2 linked regions of the Astyanax mexicanus genome follow. The protein of the gene in region 1 interacts with the protein of each later gene in a biochemical or structural test. Links are inferred from orthologs where the notes say so. Each region holds a gene or a part of one and is shown in the gene's direction. Other genes may lie near its edges.

The links.
Region 2: the proteins of setd1a (region 1) and wdr82 form a complex in vitro, tested with the Homo sapiens proteins (2 studies listed by BioGRID). The link is inferred for Astyanax mexicanus from reciprocal best matches to the Homo sapiens genes SETD1A and WDR82.

The regions. Positions count from the first base shown.
Region 1 is NC_064426.1:19,728,984-19,739,962, reverse strand, and holds the start of setd1a (histone-lysine N-methyltransferase SETD1A), read left to right. Parts: upstream 1-6,611; 5' UTR 6,612-6,831; intron 6,832-8,213; 5' UTR 8,214-8,220; coding exon 8,221-8,358; intron 8,359-9,157; coding exon 9,158-9,256; intron 9,257-10,229; coding exon 10,230-10,500; intron 10,501-10,979. UniProt on the Homo sapiens protein: Histone methyltransferase that catalyzes methyl group transfer from S-adenosyl-L-methionine to the epsilon-amino group of 'Lys-4' of histone H3 (H3K4) via a non-processive mechanism.
Region 2 is NC_064412.1:15,874,356-15,885,059, reverse strand, and holds the start of wdr82 (WD repeat-containing protein 82), read left to right. Parts: upstream 1-5,505; 5' UTR 5,506-5,753; coding exon 5,754-5,914; intron 5,915-7,584; coding exon 7,585-7,682; intron 7,683-8,218; coding exon 8,219-8,285; intron 8,286-8,913; coding exon 8,914-9,013; intron 9,014-9,137; coding exon 9,138-9,254; intron 9,255-9,564; coding exon 9,565-9,720; intron 9,721-9,976; coding exon 9,977-10,046; intron 10,047-10,174; coding exon 10,175-10,317; intron 10,318-10,704. Other genes in the region: cplane2 (ciliogenesis and planar polarity effector 2), read left to right, coding at 1-11, 213-337, 807-943, 1,458-1,695; heat shock protein beta-7, read right to left, coding at 2,912-2,919, 3,010-3,148, 3,662-3,778, 3,990-4,010. UniProt on the Homo sapiens protein: Regulatory component of the SET1/COMPASS complex implicated in the tethering of this complex to transcriptional start sites of active genes.

The DNA.
Region 1 (10,979 bases):
GAAATAGTTATTGGCTGATCAGGTACATCAGGGCAAGTTAAACATATTTAGTTTTATTTTCTAAGACCTTGATCTGTGTCTTTTGATTCAGAGACAAGTCTTTTTAACCAGCTATCAGAAACATCACAGTTTACATGGTTAGTTCAGTTACCTTTCTTTTGGAAAAATCGCTGTATATCCAGATATGTTTTAACATCAACGCTAGGGGTCACGATTCTCTAAATCCTCGATTCGATTTTATTTCCGATTTTAGGGTCACAATTCGATTTGATTCTCGTTTTTCTTTTCTTTTTTTACAGCAGAGAGGCCTATGCCAGTTTTAGATTAGTCTATGGTCAGTCATTGGTTTGATTAATCAAATTTACAATATCTTATTTCAAAAGGTGGGCTTGATATAAGTGATGCAAAGTGATACAAGTGATCTGTAATACACCACATTAGGCACTAATGGTCAAATTTAATTAAGATATATATGTAGTGCCATCTAGTGGCTTTTTTGGTAGCAGCATTGTGCAATACGGTGGCCGAGAAAGCCCAGCGCAGTGCAAATTGAAAAGCGCTGCAAAAGCACAAAACACATCCATCAAAATTACAACACAGGCGCAGCAAATAGAAAAACGCGCTGCAAAAAGAAAAACGCGCTGCAAATACAACCACAACACAACGGAAGTGAGTCACAACACAACGGAATTTTCCCGGGGGGACCTTAAAAGATGCTGTACCAGCTGTATACAAAGGACAATATGTGGCAAACAAGCTTCTGAAAGTAAGTTATGTTTATTACCTGTGATTACCACGGTTGTGTGCATATTATTAAAAGTTCTGCTTCACAAAACGCCTTGTTTGCCACTTATTGTCCTTTGTACACATAGTGAAGTCCCAGACGTTACTGAAGACGCAGCTTAGCTGGTACAGCATCTTTTAAGGTCCCCCGGGAAAATTCCGTTGTGTTGTGACTCACTTCCGTTGTGTTGTGGTTCTAGTTGCAGCGCGTTTTTCTGTGTTGTAATTTTGATGGATGTGTTTTGTGCTTTTGCAGCGCTTTTCAATTTGCACTGCGTTGGGCTTTCTCGGCCACCGTAGTGCAACATAAAATAAATAATAAAAAAATACAGGAACAGTCATGTAAAAAAATTGATTTTAGAGCCTTAACAAACTGAACTCTATCCTACTATAACAGTTAAACATGAAAAATAAGACTTTAAGACTTTTTTGGTGCCTGAGAATGACAAGTTCTTTTCTTTGACAAAGATATATTATTATTAACTTTATCTGAGAGAAAGATGCTCCTTAAGGTACCAAAACTATTAACATTTTTGAGGATAGACAAAACAACTGTTATTTTTATATTTTCAAATTTTTTCTTCAAGAAGATGAGAATGTCCACATTCTCTGGAGAAAGAGCTGCTCTTTGAGCAGTCACAATGTCCGTGGCGTCGGCTACAGTGTGCTGAGCCATTTGCGTAGCATGCTGCACCATTTGCGTAGCGCATGCGCGTGCTTGAGTAGCTTAGAGGGAGGGATCGTCGATCCTCTTTTTGACTTCGAGGCTCGAGACCATGACATAATTTCGATCGATTTTGATGAAATATCGAAATCGTGACACCTCTAATCAGCGCTGAAACCTGGTGCAAGAACTCAAAAACCCTCAAAAATCCTCCCCAGCGAGGCGGTGGGGTTGCTGGGGTGGGGGCTTCCCTACTAGCCCACCACGCTCCGCAAAACCAGCAAGCTGATTGGCTTTTTCTCCTGAAAGGCGTAACTTTATCCTTGAACTGGCTCCGTGATTCGCGTCAAGAGACAGCGGCCTGTCTCCTCACTAATAATACAGCTGAGCTAATGTTAGCACAAGCTAACATTAACATGTGGTAAACACTTAGCATAAACATGGGGCTGCCAGCAACAGCTTATTTGCATAAAAGTAACAGAGCCCTTAAACAGTTCATTCTGAAAGGGACTGAAACTGGCAAGAACAAATCTGGTGAGATGTTTTTATGTAAGAGTGATTTTGTTCAAATAACTCAATGAAAATGTTTTGTATTTTCTATAGACCTATTCTAACTTGTGTAAAAAGAGGTATAATGTCACTTTAACATTCTGAGTAATTTTTAAGAGTGATCTGCAGTTCTAGACATACTCAAATGATCATAAACACTGTGCAAATCTTCAATGGTTGGGCACTTCTTGAAGACTGAGGATAAATCTCAGTTGTCTTCCTACTACTTTTGTACATCACTGTGTAAGCCGAGAAGTAAAAATGAATTAAATGACAAACACAGCTCTGAAAAAAAAAAGATTGAATTTTTGCACCAGGAGTGGCATAAAGTTATCCAAAAGCAGTATGAAAGACTAGTGGAGAACATGCCATGCATAATGATTAAAACCAGGGTTATTCCACCAAATATTAATTTCCGAACTCTTAAATCTGTATGAATATAAACTTGCTTTCTTTGCATTATTTGAGGCCTGAAAGCTCTGCATGTTTTTGTTATTTCAGGCATTTCTCATTTTCTGCAAATAAATGCTCTAAAAGACAATATTTTTTTTTGGAATTTGGGAGAAATGTTGGTCGTAGTTTATAGAATAAAACAACAATGTTAATTTTACTCAAACATATACCTATAAATAGCAAAATCAGAGAAACTGATTCAGAAACTGAAGTATGAAGTCTCCTAATTTTTTTCTAAAGTGTTATATACTTATATACAAGTGATGCAACTTTTCAGTGTATGACCCTAATAGAACACTATGTATAAAATATATAGGTTGTAAATCTACTTGTGTTACATTTAATGAGATCAGCCATAACATTAACACCACTGAGCTGGTGAAATGAATTACAGTTCCATTTTTCCCCTCTTTGGTATAGTGAAAAAGAAATGGAATTTCATTCAGGTTTTCAAGTTTTTATTTTTTCCCCTGATAAAATGAAAAAGAAAATAATAATAATATCCTGTCTTTCTCTCCAATCTAATAGTTAAATAACTACATTTTCTTATTACAAGATGCAAAAACAAAATAGAGAGTAAAATAAAGATTCTTTTTTTCCGTTTTCCGTGTAAGATTGGAAGGGCATGAATTAAAAACTTATAAAGAAAACAGGTGTATTGAGCTACTTTGTTTATTTTTGTTGTTGATTGTTGTAGTTCCACAATAAAACACTAGATGGAGGCACTAACTTAACCCTCTGCAATGACACGGCGTGCTGTTTAATGCACTACACTGAAAAGTCTCCTTTATTGGATAATTTAGCCAGTTATTAAGCTATTTCCATTTAGTAGTTTTGGTAATCGTTATTATTTAATGTGAAAGTGCCATAATATCGATTAGAACGTTACTAAAATAGGGCTATTCACTGTATACCAACTCTACCACAGCTGTATACTGTTGTATATCTGTATACCAATACTACTACCACAGCACAAGAAAATCCAGCCAAGATGTACAAAGCTGTCATCTAGGTAAGAGATGCTACTTTAAAGACTCTAAAATACAAAACATATTCTGGTTGGTTTAACACTTTTTGTTTATACCATCATGTTTGAAATGAGTTGAATGTTCTATTGTAAATAAAATACGAAATATATCATCTGGTCAGTTTTAATAGCAGCATATTACTTAAATGTTCTGGGGTAAACTTTTGCTCCTCTGTTCTAAACAATCCGGTTTATTATAAAATATTTTGATTAGTACACATTACCACATGTTATGGGATATTCTGGTACTGCAGATAGAGTTACTGTAGAACCTCACTATGACTTACTGTGCTACTGTGATTTATTATGCACTTCATCCTCAAAGGAAGTTGCCAATAAATCCTGCTCCACAGTGTTCCTGGAAAGATTAAACCAGATAAAGACGTAAATGGCTTGTGTCTGATGTCTGAGATGCTCTCCAGTTCTCTAAATGGAGAGATGATTTCGTTTGTTTAGACGATTATTTCTGTCTGCAAACTAAGTCTCTACTCAAAGCCTTAACGTATTTATTAAATCCTAGTAAATAACCAGTGAAAGATGAGACTAGTTGCCAAAAAAAAAAAATAAACGCCAAATATCATCAGTAAGTGAGATCATACATTTGGCACATCTTCTTGTCCTATATCCAACCAGGCCTTGAGCCAGCAGCAGCATCTGGAACTCTTATGTTGTGCCAGTGGTGTGAAGATTACAGATTTACAGATTTGTTTTTGTTGTTGTTTTTTTTTGTAATACTTACATTAATATCAGACAAGTAACCTAAGTAAATATAAAAAGTACTTTTTTAATTATGATTTAATTTATTAAGGGGAAAAAAAATCTAAATCTAGCCCCTGAACAAGCCCGTCATAAATTAACCTTGATTAATCACACTTTTTGTAAAGCTGAGTTCAATTTCTCTAACCACAACCAAGACTGATTACCACCAGACCTGTAGAATCAAGAACTTACTTTCTGACAACATGAAGCTAAAAGCAACACATTATGCTGTGATCTAAAGAAATTCCAAAACAGATGAGAAAACAAAGTCATTGATCATTTATCAGTCTGGACAATGTTGTAAAGTAATTTCTAAGGTTTTGGGACTCCAGTGAACCACAACGAGAGATATTATTCACAAACTGGGAAAATATGAATCTCTGGTGAATCTTCAGGAGTGGCCGGCTGACCGAAATTATTCCAAAAGGGCATGGACAACTCATCTAGGAGGTCACAAAGCGTCAGCGGTAATGATGGAATAATAAAAAAGTGACTGGTCAAAAATGGTAACCATGGTAAAACTTACAATTAATTTCACAAAAAACATAATTCTGAACATAAAGCATAGTGGTGGTAGTGTGATGGTCTGGGGCTGCTTTGCTGCTTTGACCTGGACAGCTTGCTGTAATAGATGGAACCAGGAATTCTGCTGTTTACTAGACAATCCTGAAGGAAAGTATCACAAAAAAGCAAAAACAAAAGAAATCTGTAGGGAGGCAAATACTTTTTATACTGTATACACAGTGTCAATACTGTCCAAAAATGGCTTCTACTAGATGTTGGAGCATTGCTGTAAAATTCTAATACTAACAAAGATATTCTGAATTCTCTATTTTCAGACAGTTACTTTGCTGAGCACTCCATAAATAAAAATCGAGGCAGATCATTAAATGTTAAAACATTACAGTTTTATTTAATATTAATACATCTTCTGAAGAGTATGTTTTCATAGTATGTAAAGATGAAAGGACTCCTAACATTATTGCATTTACTGTGGCTAATTTTTACTTTTAATATTTTATTGTTTCAGTCAGCTATACAGTACCAGTAAAAAAATTACACAAATTGAATACAGTGGTATTATAGTGGTATAATCCATATTATGTCAAAAACTAGACCAACAACCTTATGAAACTTGCTCTCATTAGAAGTGCCAGAGCAAGAGAGGAGCAAGAGTTACAGTATATCCGGAAAGTATTCACAGCGCTTCACTTTTTATTACGTAACAGCGTTATTCCAAATTGTATTACATTAATCTTTCCTCAAAATTCTACACAAAATACCCCATTACGACCATGTGAAAAAAAGTTTTCTTGAGAGTTTTGGAAATGTATTAAAATAAAAAAATAAAAAAAGAAATCATATTTACATAAGTATTCACAGCCTTTGCTTAATACTTTTTAGAACCACATTTGGCAGCAAATACAGCCTCAAGTCTTTTTGAATATGATGCCACAAGCTTGGCACACCTCTCTTTAGGCAGTTTTGCCCATTCTTCTTTGCAGTACCTCTGAAGCTCCATCAGGTTGGATGGGAGACATCTGTGCACAGCCATTTTCAGATCTCTCCAGAGATGTTCAATCAGATTCAAGTCTGGGCTCTGGCTGGGCCACTCCAAGACATTCATATAGTGGTCCTGAAGCCACTCTTTTGAGATCTTGGCTGTGTGCTTCGGATCGTTGTCCTGCTGAAAATTGAACTGCCACCCCAGTCAAGAGCGCTCTGGAGTTCTGGTTTTCATCCCGGATGTCTCTGTACATTGCTGCATTCATCTTTCCTGACTAGTATGCCAGTTCCTGCTGCTGAAAAACATCGCATTGCATGATGCTGCCACCACCATGCTTGACTGTAGGGATGGTATTGGCCTCGTGATGAGCAGTGCCTGGTTTCCTCCAAAATCTTATTCCATGTTTGGTTTGCATTTTTATTTAGATAAAATAAATATTAATGATATAATTGTAATTTTTATTAATTGTAATTAATTGTGTATAATTCATTTTAAGTTTATATACAAATTATCTAGCTTACATGACGTTATAATTGTTGTTTGTTTGTTTTCAGCTTTTTGTCTGTTTGTTTATTTTTGTTGGTTTGTTTGTAGCTGTTTATTTTGTTTGTTAAATGGCTGTTTATTTTGTTTGTTCATTTATATCTGTCGTTTGTTTGTTTATACTTGCATATTTTCTTTACATATGTTTATTTTGTTTGTTTGTTTTATGGCTGTTTAATTTGTTTATATATATTTGTTTTGTTTTGTTTTGTTTGTTTTGATGCACTTGGCCGAGGCTTCACCTTCACCCTCCCGCCTGACTCCCTAGTGACGTCTTTAGCAAGTAAACGGCAGATTCGCCAATTTAAGACACACATTGCTAGCTCGTCAGATAGAAAAAAATATATAGCTGCGTCAGAGGATGAAGCGTGTTGTATTGTTTACTGTAAATTAAAACACGGATCGTTTGATTCATGTTTTAATAATTTAGCGCTTTCATTAAGTTCGCTAGCCGGCAAAGATAGGCAGATCCTGTGCGGAAAGTGCTTGAGCCGAATCAAAGGAATGTTGTTCTTGTGACGAATGGCGGACAGGCGAGGCTCTCAGGTTGGTTGCGCGATGGCCGCTGTGTGTTTAACCCCGATTATTTCCTCAAAACAGCGCTTTTAGGTGGAATATGGCGCTTTAAAATGTCTCGAAGCGGCACCGGAACGCGGGCAGCACCTCTCGAGGCCGGGCAGCGCGGCCCCGGAGTGGAAAATACGCCGCTTTTTGGCTCCGCGGGTCTCCGGGAGTCTGGTTCGCTGTAGCGGCCTGCCGAGCGGCTAGTTAGCACATTAGCTTAGCATGCTAGCTATCTTGTTTAGCGGCATTGTGGCGGACGTTTTTAGCTTGTTAGCGCTTTAGCTAAGTGCAGGTGACCGCTCGTAGCTGCGTTGGAGGCTCTAAAAGAGGGATAAAAGACTTTAGCAGACGGGAGCCTCTGTTTTAGTGCTCGGATAAATTCGCCGCGGAGACGGAGGGTAAAACGAGTTTAGTTTGAAATCTGGGGTTATTAGCTACAGTTCATAGCGTTTCTCCTAACCTAGCGGTATCTACTCTGCAGGCAGCCCACAGTTTTAGTGTTTATACTGTTATAACCATGTGGATATGAGTGCAGGTTGCCGGTAAAAGTCGTTAGCTATGTAAAATCGGCTGTTCTTTCAAGTAGTGTTGAAATATTGTTAAAAACAGGACTCAGTTTATGAGGGATATGATTAGCTGCTATTGTTGCAACTGTGCAACTATGCGTGCAGCATCACAACAAAAACCTGATTAACTCCTCTTAGACTCATCTCCAACAGCAACAAGAGACAATAGCATAGGGAAGATGATCAGGAGAGGGCTTGAGCAAGGATTGCATACAGCCCTTGGTCATCATCTGACCTACTCTTTAGGTTGACTATTTCTAATTCTTTCCCTAAGAACAAAAAAGAGAGTTTGGAAAGCTTAAGCTGGATGACCAACATAACCATCATGTCCAAGTTTGTTTACCAGACTAACCTATGTAATGCCGATTGAACTAAATATTGTAAGGATGCATGATAATATTGAAGTTATGTCAGTATAGGTTGATACTGTTTTTTGAATCAGCAGCATTCAGTGATATTAATATGACCAATACTTCGAACCGATACTTGCTGACTTTCTGTATTTATTGTAAGGCAGCAAAGGTCTAAGTGATGCTGGCCATGCTAATAAAATTGACACACACTGACAGAGATTCTTTAAAATGATTTGATTTATGTATTTTTTTTTTTTTAGTTTTTTAAAGTTATACCAGTGTGTTGAGTCTCTCTGTAAGTAATAAAATGTGTATCCTCTTCAGCAAATTTATATATAGTATATAAGTCTGATTTCCCACATCGGTGCATCCCTACCATTGTGCCATTTGTGCCTTTGCCGTTGTGTCCTGTGAATTTCATTCACCATTCTTATTTTCTCTGCAGTAATAGCATGGATCCAGATAGTGGGGCGGACACCCAGCGAGCTCTCAGTCTGCAATGGAAGAGCTACAAACTTGTACAGGACCCTGCCATTCGCAGGGTCGCTCAGAAGATCTACAGATACGATGGGATTCACTTCAGTGTGCCGGTATATGCTTTTTTTATATAGTTGGTTTGTGATGGTAGACGCCGCAGTCAGCAAGAAAATAACTAAAATCAGGGCATTTAAGGGTAATGTATTACTTGTCAGCAAGCTAATTCTGAGGCCTCTGAGTCATTTTGTGAACATCTGTTTCAATGCTTTCAGTTGAAATGTGTTAAGTGACTCACCATGCATTAAAATATTTTAATTTATTTATTGGACATTTGTGTTGGATTTAATAAGACGGATATACCTTTAGCTTTTACACAATACTGGGAATCTTCATTCTTGGAGATCTACCAGCCTTGCCCTCTTAAGTTTAGCTGTGGTACACCTGGTTTTAATATTTATATGCTGCAGCTGAAGGCCTTTATCAACAGGATCATAAGTGTTGGACATAAACTAGTAGAAATAAATGCTTTGTTTCTTTGTCATGCTAATCCAAGGTAATTTAGTCTCAATTTCAACATTTTATAAATGTTAGTAAATCATCACTGACATGCATATCAAATTTTGGATATCTGCTTCAGCCCATAATTCCGCTTAAGTTAATATCAAGATTTTATAGGTAGTCAAATAGGTAGTCTGTATGCCGTTATGCTTATTCAGGCCATGCAGTTTTAAGTGCATGTGTTTGTCAGTTTTTAGCACTAAATAAATATTGATATTGTACATAACAGCAAAATCTGGTTTGTACTATTAGCACTGCTTATGTTAAAATTGAGGCTATATTTTTGGAATACTTATAACTACATGATTCCTTATTAAGCGATTAATATTCATTAAATTATTTTCTAACCCTTAGGACGCAGGGTTCCCACCTGTGGGGGAGTTACGTGACCCTCGGCCCCGAAGGATATGGTCCAGGCACACGGAGCTGTCGCTTCCCGTGCCCAAATTTAAGGTATGTTTTTAATGTCAGTCTTTTTTTCTCATATTTGCAACCTGTGAGTGAAAATGTTCCACATCAATTCTTGTTTTCTCTAGAGTACATTTTTATACATATTTTGGCTGAATTGTTTTGCTCTTCTTGCTTGAGTGCACCTGAACAAATTCTTAACATTTCATAAGTAATTGTCTCAGTCTGAAGGCCTGTTTTCTGCAAGGATCTTTAGAGACAGGAAATTTTAACTTTTGAACAGACTGAGGTCTGGTTGAGTCTTTTTGGCTCTGGTGGCTGTTATCGCTTTTTGGTCAGCAGAGAGTTAAAACAGGCCTTTTGGTGGGCATTGTTTGCTATAGCTAATGCTGAATGCACACTACATAATTGTGGGCATGATTTTCCTGTCATGGACAAATGTTGGAGATGTGCAACAAAAGCTTGGAGGTAAATATTCAGGTATGTTTAAGAGCTCTTTCTGATGCATCTTGAAATGTGAGCAGTAGGAACCACAATAAGATAAGCCGATCTGAGCAAAGACCAAACTCTCAAGGACTGAGAACAACACTACAATTGGTAAAGGAGAAATATTGAAGCATAAGGCATTAATTTTAATGATTGTTTTTTTTTATTTGGGTTTGGGTGAAAATGTAGTAAAAGGTATTGGTCTGACTCAGTGGTCTGTAAAGTGGTCCCTTTACGAATATTTTGCAGCACAGATCTTAATTTTTTATGTAATTTGTGGAAGCAGTTGGATAACCTTCCAGGACAATATAATTGTGGAGAAATTCTGCAAATAAATATGCACTTTATGATAATACTCACTCAGTTAATGTTGTGCGTAATTGACATGATGTAAATAAATAAGGATAAAAAATCGGTCCAGTGCAGAGCTCTAGTAGAGGGTAATAAGTCTGAAGCTTTGAGCAGACCTCTTCTGCTTGCAGTTTTACCTCCTCCTAATGGAGTTTTCCTCTGTGTTTTTCTTTTCCAACAGTTGGATGAGTACTACGTGGGTCCTATTCCATTGAAGGAGGTGACGTTTGCCCGGCTAAACGATAACATCAAGGAACCTTTCTTGTTAGAGATGTGCAACAAATTTGGGGAGGTGGAAGAAATGGAGATCTTGTTTCACCCGAAGACCCGGAAGCACTTGGGCCTGGCCCGTGTACTCTTCACCAGCACCAGAGGGGCCAAAGACACAGTCAAACACCTGCACAACACCTCTGTTATGGGCAACATTGTCCATGCCCAGCTAGACATCAAAGGTACAGACTAAGGCTGTAAGATAAACCTCATTTTTTTGGTATCGCCTCTGCTTGATTGTTCGTGATAACCACAGAAAAAGCTGTAATATATGTGTGAAGAACAGAAAACTTCATACTGCATACTGTTAATACATGATATAACAGGGTGACGTAGAGGTCCACAGTGAATCTGCTCGCTTAGGTTGGAAGAATTAGCCTGTGAACGCAGCCTTGTCTAGGGATTCAATTCCTGCTTTCTCTTTGGTTTTTAAACTGAAGCCTACTGAAATTGAAACTGAAAATGTGCCTCTTTGGGGTCTGGAGTAATTTTCATATGTGTTTGGAGGTTCATGTTTCAGGGTTGCTAAAAATGTGGCTTGATAATGTGTCATTCACCTGTTTGTAGTGTATTTTTAATTTATGTTTTCTTTGAAACATGTTCAGAATTCAGACTTTAAAAGGCTAAATATGGCGCTTTTAAACATAAAGACACTTGTGGC
Region 2 (10,704 bases), on another chromosome or scaffold:
TGAAACCACAGGTAAATATGATTCTACTGGACACTACACCTTTAAATAATTATTTGCAGGTAGTCTAGGTTCATGTTTATAGTGAATTTACTGCTGTAGTGCCGGACCCTAAATATCTTGAATAAATTACTATAGATTAAGACACTTTTTAGTCAACATTTTCAGCAGTTTCTTTGGTTCCAGTAACAGTAATTCTGCTCTGATCTCCACAGGCATGGAGACATCCATAGTGTTTTGGCCTGTGAAGCTGAAAGAGAGCAGCCGTGTGTTGTTTTTTCAATTTCAGCTCTGGGATTGTGGTGAAAATGCGATGCGTAGATTCGACCATATGCTAACGGTAAAAGCCTATTTTGCGTAAAATCTAATCCAGTAAAAAATTTTCTATATAGTACTGGAAATGGCTTTACAGAACTGTTTTTAAAGTTTTTCTATTACCTCTAAACAGCCAAAGAATCTGGTAACCCTTTAAAATGGAATAACTTTGTATATAATTATAATTATTTAACAAATAGGGTTTCTGTATTGTTTTAGTATACAATTATAAAAACATTCTTCATACATCCCTATGAGAAAACACACCACAAGTACAAAATAATAAAAATAATAGTGTGTGTTGTACAAAGTTTTATATAATTCCATCCATCAAAAACCATGACAAAAAAACGCTTTTCTATCTTCTTTCTGTATTAGTGCTGTCATGTTTCTCTATTTCTAGCTTTAATAGTACAGTCTGATTTACATACTTGCTCTTTGACATGTTTTGCATATTTTAAGGCCCACAATGCTCTTCAACAATTTTTCTACAGTCTTGCAAGGAACAGGTTGATGCCATACTCTTCCTCTTCTCCTTCACTGATCATGGCTCTTTTAAAGACATCTCAAATCAGATGTCTCGGTTCACAGATCCTTCGGACAGGGTTGTCAGACTGGTGGTTGGTACAAAGTATCCTTCAATCACTTCTGATAGGTGGACATTTTAACGATTTACGTTTGAACGATTTCAGTGTATGTACTGACTGAGTAAGTGTGGGACAAAAGATTGATATTGCAATACACTGATTTGTGGCAAAATATTAATATTTGTATTAATTTATTCATTTTATTTACCATTAATTAGTAGTATTATTTAGGAGTATTTTATTCTGTTCTGTAGCACAGATTATGTAAAATGTCATAGAGAATTGACTTGCGATATATATCGAGTATCGCTGAGTCACAGTATTCTGATATCCTTGCTATTGTGAGCAACATATTGCAATAATACAACAATCATATTGTGAGAACTGACAGTGTGTGTTTCTGTTCACACCCATCAGTCTAGATATTTTTTTCCTCCATCTTATGCTGATGTTTGTTTGCTTGAGTAATTTCTGTACAAAAACTAAGGAAGAAAGAAGCTCTGACCAAAAGAATCTGACCTTCAAAAAAAAGCATTGCCCTTAACTCAGATTGAACAGATTTGACTTGTTTATGCACACAGATGTGACAGAGAGTGAGATCAAACGCTTTCAGGAGGTGTCTCGTGTGCCAGTCTTCCGGGTGGGAGGTGATGTGAGTGAAGGGTTTGGTGAGATTGCACCCCTGCTAAATGCCTTAGCAGAAAACCTGTGGCATCAGGACTGCATTCACGCCTCATCTGCCTCTCTACCCCCACAGCCTCATCCAGAAGATACGAACCGAGAGGTTATTGTGTAGCTGTGCAGTTTAACATCACAGAGCACAGTGCAAGATCTCAAATCACAAGCTGAAGGACCTGGAGAAAGAACTTTACACAGTGTAAAGATACACCCCTAAGGGACAGTTTCCTCAGACCGGGATCAAGCCTAGTCGACTACACTGACTACGGGGATTTTCAATTTGAAGCAAAATATTGTCCACAACTAGGTTTAGCTTGTAAATGTTTATAAGTGCAACTTCTGAATAACCATTACTGATTTTCAGGTTCGAGTCACTGATGTCACGCTAGTGTAGTTGGATATTGTGCTTTATTCATTGTTAAATTAGGGGTAAAAGACATATATTCTACCAAACAAAAATGATTGTATACATTTCTTGTACATTTTTCAACAATATTTTTGTTACTGTGCTTATGGGTGGAGTAAAACTTCTTTCAGTTAAATATAACTATATAAATATAAAGGTGAATATACAATAACAGTCAAACCTTAAATTCAGTGGCGTTTTTTTCCATTTTTTTAATTTTCTGCATTGTAGATTAATACTTAAATCATCCAAACAATGAAGATGAACATATGTAACTATTTAGTAAACAAAAAAGTTAAACAAATCAAAAATCAAAAATGTTATGATAAAAGAGGCTCTCATCAGGACTGCCCTAGGAAATGAAAACCAAGAGTTACCTCTGTTGCACAGGATAAGTTCATCAGAGTTACCAGCCTCAGAAGTTAACAGAATCCCACCTAAAGGCTTTGTTTAACACTTTTAAGTTAATACATGATTCCTTATGTGATCCATAATAGTCTGGATGACTTCAGTATGTATTTACAATGTAGGGGAAAAAATAAAACATTGAATGAGAAACTTTTGACAGATACTATATGTATTTTTGTGACTGTCTTTGTGACATCACAAAAACTATTATTTCAAAAGATTTACATATTTGGATTTTACATTTACACTTACCAATAGTTACCAATATAGTCTTTCATAACCCATTCTGCCATCGATTATGGGAATCTTTAATACATCAATGTGCACAGTCTATTTTTACATCAACAGCAATAAGAAAGTTGTCTTAAAGTAGTTCAAACATTGGTCACCACACTTTTTTAATGTACTGATTGTTGTTGCATTTAAAATAAAGCATCTCAAAATGTTTATATTATTTATTGGAATAATTTGAAGTGCCTTTCTTCAGTCTTCAGTCAAGGCCATCATAAAGGTGTATGGATCACTTAACTGCAATCATATAGAGAAAGAAAAAAAATATTCTGCAAGGGTAGAAATCCATGCATTAAAATTTAAATTGACAAAAATATGTTTTCTTACCTTTTGTCTTGTGTTTAAAAGCTGTAACTGTAAGTGCACCACCCTGCCCCAAGGATGAGCTCACTGACATGGGGTCTGCATCTGGAGGAAACTGCCATTTGTGGAAAAATGTGTCTATGACGGTACCATCTGATGCCAGCTGAGAAATAAAAGCAGAATATTACAATGAGACAAAAATGTATGTCTTCTAAATGTATTTAACTAATAGGTTCATGTTCAAGTTGTATAGTAAACTGTATATATACTTCTGATCTATAGTTTTTTAAACACTTAATGTCTTCTTTAAGCAGTAAATTAATGAAATAAAATATTTTACTAAATAGTTTTTCATGGTAAAAAGTGGTGACATGGTAGTTTTGGAATGTTTTAATTCCACGATTACTTGCAATAAAGTCACCATTTGTGCACTACAAAGCTTATTATTTATATAGCAAATATTATTTACTTAGTATAACTCAAACATAAGCAACATATTAATGTTACAAATTAGTGTCAGCATCCTACCCCATTCTCATTGAAGGACTTCTATCAAGTGCAACAAAATAAAGAACTTTTAAATGTATTTCCAAAGGGTTTCACAATAATATCCTTGATCTTTCTTGGTATGGAATCACACAGAATACGTGTTAGATTACTCTATGCTTTTGCTTACCTTTTCAGCAGAAACCTGAATGATGTTTTGTGATGAGGTAACAATGACTTGTTCTGGCGAGAATGCACTCACGTCCACTGTGAACATGTATGTGTCTCCAAGAGTGCACATTTCCTCCTTTAGAAAACAGATATGAACATAGCTCTGCTACTTAAGTGCATGCAATAACAGAAAACACCTGTTGCTGTAAATACACAGGTTTATTGGCTGTCTTAGCCTACTTAATTTGTGGCTGCATTCTTTTATCGTATTTCCAGTGTTAAAAGTTGACTGTACAAGCAAGCTCTGATCTATATAGCAATAAGCAAGCATAGATGAAAAAACTCACCTTTAGATAATCTTCTGACATTCTGATATTTTTCTTAAGTAGTTGGAAAACAGATAGGCTTTTCTATTCCTAAAACGGTAAAAAAAAAAAAAAGTACTGTAAAATTCAGCCTAGTGACGCATTAGTGCCTTACACACAAAAACAAAAGCTTTGACTCAAAAACAAAAAACCCATCACAAGCTCCTAGAGCATTGCACTGAGTTCCCTCAGGGCTTTAAAGTCCCTTTTATTGTAGGCTGCTGTGAGTGCTAGGAGCCTCATAGCTGTGAATAAGAGTGAGGTTATGATGTCTGTGTGCAGTATTTATCACACACTGGAGAGATCAGCTTGTACAACTAATAATGTTCCAATTTATATGACTCACAATCAGAGGATACAAGGTGTGAAACTTCCAATTACAAATATTGGTGAAAAGTGTTCAGGGGTATTCTGCAAAGCTAACTCAGATAGTGGAATAACATGCAGTAGAAAATGTTCTCCAGCTCTTCTGCCATTAGGCAGGCTTGACTCAGGGCTTAGTTTATCTGGCTTACTAAGAATCCCTGCTTTGTGAAATAGTCCCCAGCTGAGCAACCCTACAGAAATAGAGTTGTGTATTAGCTGAAGAACCGATGTGACATTCTAGGTCTTCTCTCACCTCGAGCATTATTAATGATGGTCTATAATGGTCATCACATCCACTCTAATTAAGCAGGTTGTTGGACTTCTTTCAGACACAGACTGGAATTATTTATGCATTATGTACAATTCTGCTAGGATATTCTGATGAGCATTTCATCCCACAACATGATTTTGCAGATCCCTTTAAATATAAAGGCAGAGACAAAAAAAAAAAAAACGGGGGCAGTTTCCTAGACAGATATAAAATCTAGTTTTGGATTACACACCATCTGGAATTGAGATTTACAATTAAAAGGAAAATATAGTCTTTAACTGGGTTTAATCCCTTTACGTTTTTTTCACATACTGCTGGTGATTTTATTGGTTAGCTAATAACAACCTGCAAAGTATTCGAGTGTTAAGCAGTTTACAATACGAAGTGTCTGCATCAATTTATTGAATTTATTTATCAATTTAAATCAGTTTACTTAATTTATTGACCACTTGTTACTGACACGCTCCCAACTGGGGAAACTCGGGGCTTATCTAAAAACCCGAGTTTCTCACTGGTAAATACGAGTTTGTGGTGGAGTTCATGTGATATACGATATTTCCGACACTTCTTGAAGGCAAGTACGGTTAACAAATGACGTGACATTAATTTAGATTTTTTTTAACGTTAAAAAAATAAAAAAGCTTCATTATAAAATTTTATTGTAATAAATTTATAATATTAGATAATTAAAATAAAAAAAAAGTTTTGTAACTATTTATTTATCATTCTTTTGACCAATCGGCGCCCTCTCTAGGTCCACTAAAGAACTGGTTTTAGAAGCTCAGTATATATTTTTTTTCCAGTAGCAGGACTTTTATTATGAAATGCCACTACTGTGAGCGTATCGGCCATTTTGCAGAAGGAGTGACTTCCAACTTCACCACCCGTAGGAAACACCTTCCGTTACCGAGTTCACCGCAGCGCTGCCAGGGCGGGCTTTTCTTTACCTGCCAGAAACCCGTAACTCAACCCGCTTCCATTCACAAGCCTCACAGACCCACACAGAGCCCTCTAACACTTTCTCCACCGCTCCCCGAACACAGCCGTCCTCCCTGACCGCAATCTGAGAGCAGCCTGCGCCTGGCCAGGCATAAAGCAAGGCCGCCAGCATGAAGCTCACTGACAATGTTCTGCGGAGCTTCAGGGTCGCGAAGGTGTTCCGGGAGAATTCCGACAAAATCAACTGTTTCGACTTCAGCTCGAACGGAGAGACGGTGATCTCGAGCAGCGACGACGACTCGATTGTACTGTACGACTGCCAGGAGGGAAAGTAAGTGAGCGGTCTGTGTGAAGCCCGTCCCGGTGCGCGGATTTCCGCAGTGTGGGTCTGTGAGGCCTACTGCCGCACAAAGCCTCGGCCTCGAGTAGATTAGCTAGACGGACCACGAGTTCCTGCTAACAGAAAGAAAATCTGGTGCTATTGGAAGCCTGGAGTGATTAAATGTTGACGGGGCGTGTATCTGTTTATAAAAGCCCTCGGGTTCATCACAGCTGTGTGATATTTTGCTAAGTGGCTAAGCTAAGTAGCTAGGTAAAGAGTTAGCTAGCTGGCTAATGTTGAGGGATTGCAGGGTGTAGCTAAGCTAGCTGAGATCCACGCTTCTCCGGCTCTGTTTACCCGCCTTAGCGCCCAACACTAAAGGTGGGCGATATGGCCCTAAAATATTATCACGGTGTTTCATGGTATTTTCGCGATAGTGATATGACAAAACACGGAATAAATAAATGTTTTTATGAAAATTTCAATTGTATTAATGCATACAATTTGATATTACACACCCCTAACTGAAATATTAAAAATATAAGAGTTTTATCAGATCTATCAGAATGTCATGATACTAATAATGCACTCCAAATAGCTCCATATATCCAGGACTGAAGTAAAATGAATTATATTGAAGTAGATATATAATGGGAAAATGAGAACAGTGTGAATTTTTCTTTTGCTAAAAACAGCAAAAATGTAGTACCCTGATGTGATAATTAGGGGTGGGTGATATGGCATGATATATAAGGGTACATTATTGTTCACGATATTCAAAAATGTTGTCCATATTATTGCATATGATACGATATGACACACCCTTAATGACAATATTTGATCATATTGATAAGGAATAGGAGTGAGCAATGTGGCCCTAAAATATGACAATATATTTACGACAACAATATTCTTGTCTATAAAGAACACAAATTTTATTAATCTAAGAAGTATAATTTTGACACAAATGTCAAAAGTTTAATTTTTATTGTATCAGGGTTTTAAACAGTCAGCACAAACAAAAAATCTACAACTGTTTGTCTCTTTTGTAAAAAAAAAATGTCTTACCAGAACTTTGATTTTCTAAAAAGATAATAAAGTGACAAAATAAATGGTGCAGAATATTATTCTACAAAGAATAGTGACAAAATAAATAATAGTCTGCTTTCAAGACCAAATTCTATTGTGTACTATACAATATAGCACACCCCTAATATAACAATATGCTTTTTTTTTTCAAGCATATCGAGGATACTAACTGTTTACAGAACACTGTCATAACAAGAAGCATAATTAACTCCTATTAACTAGATGAAGTGCTACAAAAAATGAACGACAAAAACGACTTGGCTATGCTTGAGCGTGTATAGCAATATTTAAGAATCTGACACTGCTTATGCTGTTTGTAATGCAACGTAATGCAATGTCCAGCTCTAGTCTTGTGTTCTTTCAGTTATGGGTATATTCAACTTTCTCATTGCTCATAGTTAGCATCTTTCAGAAGTGCAAGTAACAGTATTGTGAAAAATCAAGGACAAAATGTGCAAAATTTATCACAAAAAATATAACTTTGTAACAGGGTAGATTTAATTAATATAAACATTTAACTTTTAGTGGAAAGTCAGTAGTTTGTGTCATTCCCCTAAACAGAATATTTTCTTCCCAAACTTTAAATCCAGGCCTAAACGGACACTGTACAGTAAAAAGTATGGAGTGGACCTCATCAGATACACACATGCTGCCAATACAGTCGTCTACAGCTCCAACAAAATTGATGGTATGTTGTTTTATTCATTTAAGAACTTGTGTGTTGTGTTGTTGTTCAGTGTGACTTTCTGCTTGTCATATTGATAATCCTCTGGTTAGTAATGCTCCCCCCGCAATATGTTTAGTGCTCTTTCCCCTGTTTGTGATTGTATTGTTTGTTTTTTCCCAGTTAAGAGTATAAAGGGTAAGTATAATCAAGCTCGCTGTCGTCCTTGTACTGACCGATTGTTCGGGGCTCCCTGACTGTGCCCTCTCTGGCTTGAGGTAGTTGTTTGTACAGTTTGAGGGTCTGTGATTCTGCCCTTTCAAGGAGCTAACTGTACAGACTACTGCCTTGCCCAGGGTGGTGCCAACTCATCTAAAAGTCAACCTGGAGTTTCAGAACTGCTATAGTGGATCACACTTAGCTTTTTCAGTTTCACAGCCAGAGGTCGTAATAGAGCTTAATGTCGTCTGTTTTTGAATTTTATAAGAATGTGCAGTCTCTGTAACAGTATTAAAAACTTGCAGCTGTTTCTGACTTTTTTCACTTTTACTTGATTACAGACACTATACGGTACCTGTCTCTACACGACAATAAGTATATTCGTTACTTTCCCGGACACAATAAGAGGTGAGGATCATCAATACTGAGCTAAGGCTGCTTTTTTTGTCAATGGACTGTTCTGCTTAAAGGGGAATGGAAAATATTGTAGCGTAGCGTGCAGACACAATGTTTAGTACAAAATCTGCTCTTATTCTGCCATATTCTGTTCCATTTCTCTGCTTTCCAAAACTTGTAGAATAAGGCCTTTATATGTATGAACTGTGAGCTAAATGTCAGTCTGAACATTAGAAATTCCTTTGAGTCTTATGATGTTCCCTCCACTCTTCTTAATCATTTTACTTGTTTGGGTTTAATATTCTCCAGCAGTTATTATTATTTTGTACAACACAAAGTAAAGTATGCCAAATGTATGCAGAGACACAGATTTCTTCTCATTTATTCAATAATTAGTATTTGTAAGCTGTGCATATATTGAAAACTCAAGTTGATTTAGATAGCTGTGGAAATTTATTAATTACTGAGTTTAGTGGAGTGTGGATGAGCATATAAGGATTGTAGAGTAATAGAAAGTGTATTTATTCAAGACCTTTTAGAGTATGCATGTAAAACAATCCAGTAATTAAAGTTTTTTGTTTTAGAATGCCTTGAAGAACGGATTAAAATTTATTTATATATGTGCATTGTAATTTTACAGAGTTGTTGCACTCTCTATGTCCCCTGTTGATGACACGTTTATCTCTGGCTCCTTGGATAAAACGATTCGGCTATGGGATCTTCGCTCCCCAAACTGTCAGGTAAGCCTCATACCATTTTTTTTTAAATGTTTTGTTTGTTTTTGTTTTTTTTAGGCAAAAATAGGTGATTGTTTTCTATTGTATGTTCTATTAAAACTGTTCAAAATCCTCTGTGTGGTCACAGGGACTGATGCACCTTCAGGGGAAGCCAGTGTGCTCTTTTGATCCTGAGGGCCTGATCTTTGCTGCTGGAGTCAATTCTGAGATGGTCAAACTCTATGACCTACGTTCCTTTGACAAAGTAAGAAATATATATATATATATATATATATATATATATATATATATATATATATATATATATATATATATATATATATACTTTTTTATTCAAGCAGATTATCTCAAAATTATTTATTGTAATGTAAAACAAAGTGTGTTGACAGTAAAATTTATTTAAGATAAGAGATTTTAAGAATGTTTAAACAAGCAGCTCATTAGAAAATTAACTGCTCTTTAAGTTTCAGTGTTTTGTTCATTTTGCATTTGTTGATAAATTTGTATGTTTATGGGATATAGAATATATGTTTTTCTTTTTTCCTCCTCTTTAGGGACCTTTTGCTACGTTTAAGTTGCAGTATGAGCGCACATGTGAGTGGACTGGCCTGAAGTTCAGCAATGATGGCAAACTCATCCTGGTCTCCAGCAATGGAGGAACACTCAGACTGCTTGATGCATTCAAAGGAGCTATACTACATTCATTTGGGGTGCGTACCGCAGACTTTAGCTTCTGCCTCAACTGACCCAACCTAATCCATTAAATTACTGCTTTCAGAAGTGCGTTATTTTCTCAATGAGTTCTGTTTTGGAGAGTATTGGAAATGGTGATACTAGATAATAGTGCCTGAAGACACTGAGCTTTCAAGCCTGGCGCTGATCCCTGATTGATCCCTGATTGAAACACTTGGTGTGTTACCTCTTTGCTGCATCTGTAAAGTCCATTTGTGTGGTTTGCTTTTGTAGGGATACAACAACAGTAAAGGTGTAGTTCTGGAAGCTTCCTTCACCCCAGATTCTCAATTTGTCATGATTGGTAAGTTAACTATAGCCTACAATTTGTAGTATTTTAAAGTTGTTACTCTTGTTTGGAGGATTTGTCCTAGTATGGTCAGGGATGATATCACCATACACTATAAATATGTATTTATAATGGTTCTCCAGGTTCAGAGGATGGAAAGATCCACGTATGGAACGCAGAGAGTGGAATGAAGGTGGCGCTGTTGGATGGGAAACACACAGGGCCAGTCACCTGCCTACAGTTCAACCCCAAATTTATGACCTTTGCCAGTGCCTGTTCGAACATGGTAAGATGTTGCAACATATAAGACTTGGATGTCTTGAATAATAGCCATGATGATTTCAGAGTAATTTCAGAGTTTTCCTATTTTTGGCTTCAGTGATGTGCTCAAAAATTTGTTGACTGACTGTACTGCAGTCTCTTACCCTCAGTTGTTTTAGGTTGAATGTTTGACTTTTTGTATATAAATATATACAGAAAGCAAATCATCCAGACTGCACCCATCTTGTTATATGAAAATATTATATAAAAAATTGTGAGCAGTATAAGGTGTGTTGCTGTCAATCAAAAACAGTATAATTGTTGTGCCAAACATGTCTCGATTGCAACCAGTTCACTGTATAAGTTAAGTTTTAATTTATATCAAGCATTCCTTAAATCAAAGCATGAAAAC